Saccharomyces cerevisiae S288C: one gene and its partner. The gene in region 2 interacts genetically with the main gene of each other region. Each region holds a gene or a part of one and is shown on either strand. Other genes may lie near its edges. The genes, in order: HXT1 and JLP2.

Region 1 (4,162 bases), on a different chromosome or scaffold from region 2:
AATGCAATCATATGCAGAGATATTTTGTCCGTGGTTAATAGGGCTGCCTGTTATTCCTTTAATTCAACTAAATTACGTATGTCTAATAATATCAAAATCATCATGACGTTTTTGTTTTTTTTCTTTATTTTAAGTAGGATCAAACCAGGGGAGAAAGGGTTGCTACGCCTAACAACAAGAACTTGTATATCGTTTCTTGTTACTTATACTTTTCTGCCCACTTCTCTCTTACAACTGCTCGAGCTCATCCTTGGTAATAAAACAGTGAGGACGGTTACTCGAGGTTTCAACAGGGGAAAATAAATTTATATGATGAATCAAGAGCCCCGTTCTTTTACCGTATTATCCTTCATACTACATACTAGGGAAAGAACTGAAAACTCCGCTACCTGCTGTAACAGCGCATAATAAAAAGCAAGAATATAGACAGTTACTGTTGTTTACGTTCTTTGATGACATCATTCTCATCAGACATACAGAAACACATCCTTTTTGTCTACCCCGTATTTATTCCAACTTCAAAGTATAGGTACCGTCCGGTTATACTCTCATATACTTTGTGGCAGTTTGCTTCTTTAAACCTTGTTAACCCAGAATATTTTCAGTGCAAAAAGCTTCCGATCCTCAAATACAGTGAGAGAAAAAGCAAACTTGTCTTCATTATTTTTCTGTTTGGCCCTGTCACGGTTCTTTTTATGGCCTTCTCGAAGGATATCCGTAGTCAATTATATTCACGTAGTTGCCAAAAGTAATTTTTGGAAAACTATTATTCCTCCGAGAAAACCTCACACAGAAATCCTTGCAGGTCTCATCTGGAATATAATTCCCCCCTCCTGAAGCAAATTTTTCCTTTGAGCCGGAATTTTTGATATTCCGAGTTCTTTTTTTCCATTCGCGGAGGTTATTCCATTCCTAAACGAGTGGCCACAATGAAACTTCAATTCATATCGACCGACTATTTTTCTCCGAACCAAAAAAATAGCAGGGCGAGATTGGAGCTGCGGAAAAAAGAGGAAAAAATTTTTTCGTAGTTTTCTTGTGCAAATTAGGGTGTAAGGTTTCTAGGGCTTATTGGTTCAAGCAGAAGAGACAACAATTGTAGGTCCTAAATTCAAGGCGGATGTAAGGAGTATTGGTTTCGAAAGTTTTTCCGAAGCGGCATGGCAGGGACTACTTGCGCATGCGCTCGGATTATCTTCATTTTTGCTTGCAAAAACGTAGAATCATGGTAAATTACATGAAGAATTCTCTTTTTTTTTTTTTTTTTTTTTTTTTTACCTCTAAAGAGTGTTGACCAACTGAAAAAACCCTTCTTCAAGAGAGTTAAACTAAGACTAACCATCATAACTTCCAAGGAATTAATCGATATCTTGCACTCCTGATTTTTCTTCAAAGAGACAGCGCAAAGGATTATGACACTGTTGCATTGAGTCAAAAGTTTTTCCGAAGTGACCCAGTGCTCTTTTTTTTTTTCCGTGAAGGACTGACAAATATGCGCACAAGATCCAATACGTAATGGAAATTCGGAAAAACTAGGAAGAAATGCTGCAGGGCATTGCCGTGCCGATCTTTTGTCTTTCAGATATATGAGAAAAAGAATATTCATCAAGTGCTGATAGAAGAATACCACTCATATGACGTGGGCAGAAGACAGCAAACGTAAACATGAGCTGCTGCGACATTTGATGGCTTTTATCCGACAAGCCAGGAAACTCCACCATTATCTAATGTAGCAAAATATTTCTTAACACCCGAAGTTGCGTGTCCCCCTCACGTTTTTAATCATTTGAATTAGTATATTGAAATTATATATAAAGGCAACAATGTCCCCATAATCAATTCCATCTGGGGTCTCATGTTCTTTCCCCACCTTAAAATCTATAAAGATATCATAATCGTCAACTAGTTGATATACGTAAAATCATGAATTCAACTCCCGATCTAATATCTCCTCAGAAATCCAATTCATCCAACTCATATGAATTGGAATCTGGTCGTTCAAAGGCCATGAATACTCCAGAAGGTAAAAATGAAAGTTTTCACGACAACTTAAGTGAAAGTCAAGTGCAACCCGCCGTTGCCCCTCCAAACACCGGAAAAGGTGTCTACGTAACGGTTTCTATCTGTTGTGTTATGGTTGCTTTCGGTGGTTTCATATTTGGATGGGATACTGGTACCATTTCTGGTTTTGTTGCTCAAACTGATTTTCTAAGAAGATTTGGTATGAAGCACCACGACGGTAGTCATTACTTGTCCAAGGTGAGAACTGGTTTAATTGTCTCTATTTTTAACATTGGTTGTGCCATTGGTGGTATCGTCTTAGCCAAGCTAGGTGATATGTATGGTCGTAGAATCGGTTTGATTGTCGTTGTAGTAATCTACACTATCGGTATCATTATTCAAATAGCCTCGATCAACAAGTGGTACCAATATTTCATTGGTAGAATTATCTCTGGTTTAGGTGTCGGTGGTATCACAGTTTTATCTCCCATGCTAATATCTGAGGTCGCCCCCAGTGAAATGAGAGGCACCTTGGTTTCATGTTACCAAGTCATGATTACTTTAGGTATTTTCTTAGGTTACTGTACCAATTTTGGTACCAAGAATTACTCAAACTCTGTCCAATGGAGAGTTCCATTAGGTTTGTGTTTCGCCTGGGCCTTATTTATGATTGGTGGTATGATGTTTGTTCCTGAATCTCCACGTTATTTGGTTGAAGCTGGCAGAATCGACGAAGCCAGGGCTTCTTTAGCTAAAGTTAACAAATGCCCACCTGACCATCCATACATTCAATATGAGTTGGAAACTATCGAAGCCAGTGTCGAAGAAATGAGAGCCGCTGGTACTGCATCTTGGGGCGAATTATTCACTGGTAAACCAGCCATGTTTCAACGTACTATGATGGGTATCATGATTCAATCTCTACAACAATTAACTGGTGATAACTATTTCTTCTACTACGGTACCATTGTTTTCCAGGCTGTCGGTTTAAGTGACTCTTTTGAAACTTCTATTGTCTTTGGTGTCGTCAACTTCTTCTCCACTTGTTGTTCTCTGTACACCGTTGACCGTTTTGGCCGTCGTAACTGTTTGATGTGGGGTGCTGTCGGTATGGTCTGCTGTTATGTTGTCTATGCCTCTGTTGGTGTTACCAGATTATGGCCAAACGGTCAAGATCAACCATCTTCAAAGGGTGCTGGTAACTGTATGATTGTTTTCGCATGTTTCTACATTTTCTGTTTCGCTACTACCTGGGCCCCAATTGCTTACGTTGTTATTTCAGAATGTTTCCCATTAAGAGTCAAATCCAAGTGTATGTCTATTGCCAGTGCTGCTAACTGGATCTGGGGTTTCTTGATTAGTTTCTTCACCCCATTTATTACTGGTGCCATCAACTTCTACTACGGTTACGTTTTCATGGGCTGTATGGTTTTCGCTTACTTTTACGTCTTTTTCTTCGTTCCAGAAACTAAAGGTTTATCATTAGAAGAAGTTAATGATATGTACGCCGAAGGTGTTCTACCATGGAAATCAGCTTCCTGGGTTCCAGTATCCAAGAGAGGCGCTGACTACAACGCTGATGACCTAATGCATGATGACCAACCATTTTACAAGAGTTTGTTTAGCAGGAAATAAACTAAACAAGCTCAATATGCATATTTTAATGACTTATACAGTATTTAATTTCTCAGTAAATTTTATAAAGGTGATATTATATTGGTGTTAAAACAAAATTCTTGTCAAATTCATAAACAGATGTTCTTTTCTTTGCTAGTTCTTGACCTTCACCAAGGAACAAGAAATTTCATTCTGGCACTCTTCCGAGGAAAAATTTTATATGATATAGTATGGGTTAATACCACATAGGCGCTATACATAGTTCAAACGCCCGCTTATGATTTCGGAAAAATGTCAAATGAATAGAAATTGACAACGCTGCTGCTTCAACATCTAGTAGTGTTACTTAAGCCTGTTAGGATGTTGTTTTTAGGTATTTATAATTACTAGCAATAATTTCCATTAACAGATAACCGAGTCGATCTCAATGGATATACAGTTGCCAATCATATGTATTTTCTGACTGGCACAGGGAGACACGAAAAACACTTGCTTGATAAGAGGTGAAGCAGTAAAGAAAAGACGACAAGTAAAAAAAAAATGA
Region 2 (3,375 bases):
TCTTTCAAAAGTGTTTTCGCTAAATTAGAAAGTGCTAGAACCATTAGTTCATTCTCCTTTTTCCTGGAAGATTGAGTAGCCGTGGTCAACAAAATAGACTGTGGATAGTTTCTACGTTCAGAACCTAGTGTATCTGGAATGACATCTAATGTCAAGCATGGCCATGGCATATTGACATTATGTAGCATTTCATAAACAGTGGGATCAGCCTCAAGGACTTCATCTGGCCCTAATGGACGAGACATATGGGGTAAGTAAAGCTCCTGGATCTTTTCTTTGTTGCCTTCGGATTGGTCCTTTTGTACTAAAGTTTCAGCTTCTTCTTGCTTTTTCCTAAGGTCATCTTCGTCATTAATCTCATCATCGCCATCAATTTCAATAATTTCACCATCACTATCAAATTCATCACTCAATTGTTCTTCTAGGTCATTCTTGGGAGCATCTTGCTCTTCAGAGGCGGGAATAGCAGGAACAGAGTGAGATTCTGTTTTAGCAGAGACCACTCTATCTTGTTCCTCGTTGACCTCGATAGACCTTTTCGACATTATGGTGCTATTTCCGTGTATATGAAAACGGAGAGTAGGTGATATAACTATTTACCTACAAATTCAAACAACTACAATCCCTATAAGAAATGATCATCTCATCGCTAAATTCAGTTGGATTTTATTTTCTGTATTTTTCGCTGAAAGGAAAAAAATTTTCACGGCTCGAACGAAAAAAGAAACGTGATCACGATGTAAGTACAAATGGTACTCTATTTTGAAGCGTCTACGTTATGTAGATGATATCATACTTCCAGTTGCATATCGTCAGTAACCTCATCTTTAGACTGTTTGTTCTTCTTCTTTTGGTTTTTTTTCGCTACTTTCCTTAGCTTTTCTTCTTCAATAAGATTTGATCTATTCGACTCAATATAGTTTACAAAAAAATCACCATTTTTGGTCTTCTTTGCTTCGTTAAGTGTAGCTTCCACATTATTAAATAGTTCTACCCTTGTCTTGGCCAGTCTGTTTAGTATTTTGTTATCTCGTGCTCCGCATTCCATTTTTCTACATTGTCTTAGAGACTTAAATGATACTTCACCGGGATTCATATACCTGTTTTTTCTCAAGTTATGCCATGGTGTTATCAAGATGGTGCATTGTGGCATTTTGTTTCCTTGAATGGATTCTGATTTACATAGCTGCAGACAGTCACATATCACTTCTTGCGGTATGTCATCGATTGTTTTTTCATTTGGGCGTAACTTTAAATAAACATGACCACTTGAGTACTTATCCGCGTGAAACCAAACATAGTTTAACTCCCTATAGCTCCATTTGATAAGTAGATCGTTTTCAAACTTATCTTTGCCCATCACAATTTGGTAAGGTGTTGAATACTCAGTTGGTTTTGATTCATAGAAATACACCATTGTTATTGAAAAGTTGAATTTCAATTGAGCCTTATAATTCTATTCGCTTACTTTCTAAATTTTAAGTATAAGGCAGTCCTCTGGTCTACAGAGTTGTTTTGTTTTTTTATCCAAGTTCTTTGTTTCAATCTTATTGTAGTTTTTTTCCATTAAAATATTAAAGCCTAGGATAATCTATATCCTAAACTAAATATAAATTAAGAGTATAAAAGATGAAAGTAAATAGCATCTAGCATTCAGAAAAAATAAGAAGTCTCTTTTCAAATGATTGATCGAGCACAACGAATGTTTTCAAACCACTGTTAATTTTTTTATAGATGTAATGACTACTTATATGTTCTACGATGTGATTTTGTAGGAATAAAATAAAATTCAGTTTACCGTCTGCATATTCATAAACACTTAAATGACTGTTAAAGTATTCAGTATTTTAAATAATAATAACATAAATTATTAATACATACTTAAATACGAAGCCCATTTTGGTGGGTTCCTGAAAGAATATCAACTTTTTTTTACTAATAGAGAATTTCGTTACAAGGTGGGCGGCTAACTTATAAAAAGCAAAGGAGAAGGTTTTAACATATCGTCAAGTTAAGTTTGAAAGAGAGAACTAAAATAAAAAAAAAGAGAAAAATGTACGAGTACTGCTCAGTTGTAATAAAGAAATACTCCAAGTATACAATTCCCTCCTTCGCTCCAAATGGTTTTCAATCAATGCTTGAGCCTCCTCAGATAGACAAGTGGCAACACCTTTCCGCTAACTGCACTCTCCAATTTCGGGTTCTTCTAATGGACTCTAGACAAATTCTGATCAATGTGGTTCTCAATAATTCAACACTTCTCGAAAATATTCGCCTGCCGCTGGGGGATAATCAAGATTTAATACAATTTTCATGTAAAAGCCCCATAATCTCTTGTAAATATATCTCCGAAGAATTCGGACCCAGAATGTTAAGGAGGTTTCAGATGAATTTGCCAAATGACGTTGAGTTCAACAGGACTGTAGTTTCTTTAAAGAACCTTAATTTTGTTTTAAGGACAGCTAGGACATCAATAGCCCAGAGTACAATAACAAGCCAGGTGCAAGGCAATAATAACGGTACAAAGGTCTGTTTCACAGAAGGTCCAAAAGTTAGTAGCTACACAAATCCGAACACGCAATTTCAAACTCAAAACATGATTATGGATTTCAGTCAACGTTATCAGGAAGAATCTGAAAGAGAGTCAAATAATCGTTCAAATATAACTTTACCACACGACAGCATTCAAATAGCTCAACAAATATGGCCAAACACGGATTTAAATGTAGTACAATCTTCACAAGACCTCAACACTCCAATGGCTACGCAAACTGTTTTGGGTCGTCCTGAGTCGCTAATTGTACAGCCATTGGAGGTTTCTCAATCTCCACCAAACACTACCAACTGCCTTCCTAATGCAGAAAACAAAAAGAAAAAAGTCGACACCACTTCTGATTTTACTTCAAGAAAGGAGATTGCTCTGTGTAAAACTGGTTTATTAGAAACTATTCATATACCAAAGGAAAGGGAAAGTCAGATGCAAAGCGTCACTGGTTTAGATGCAACACCAACGATTATATGGAGCCCCGGGAAAGACAACACGGCGAAGAAAAATACCAGTAATAAGAAAAATATTGATGATAAACTAACAAACCCCCAAAAATCTGGAAATACACATACCCCTGATAGAAATAAAGAAGTGCTACCTAACGGCACACTTAATGAAACGAGGAAAGAAGCATCGCCAAGCGAAGGATTAACGATAAGAGTTAAAAACGTTAATCGGAATGCGTCAAGAAAAATATCTAAGCGGCTAATCAAGGAAAAGTTGAAAGACGAAGAATTCATGAAATGGGTATGTATGCATTTGCAAGAAACTGAGCTGTTTCCCCCTCTTATCCACTCATTTTCTCTGACTTGACAAAGAAATACTAA

The links.
Region 1: mutations in JLP2 (region 2) and HXT1 together harm fitness more than expected from each alone (negative genetic interaction), as found in Saccharomyces cerevisiae (2 studies listed by BioGRID).

Annotation. Positions count from the first base shown.
Region 1 is NC_001140.6:290,387-294,548, reverse strand, and holds HXT1 (hexose transporter HXT1), read left to right. Parts: upstream 1-1,923; coding exon 1,924-3,636; downstream 3,637-4,162. UniProt on the Saccharomyces cerevisiae protein: Low-affinity glucose transporter. HXT1 is as well involved in the transport of mannose.
Region 2 is NC_001145.3:534,154-537,528, forward strand, and holds JLP2 (Jlp2p), read right to left. Parts: upstream 1,418-3,375; coding exon 791-1,417; downstream 1-790. Other genes in the region: ribosome biosynthesis protein RRB1, read right to left, coding at 1-545; REC114 (Rec114p), read left to right, coding at 2,054-3,295.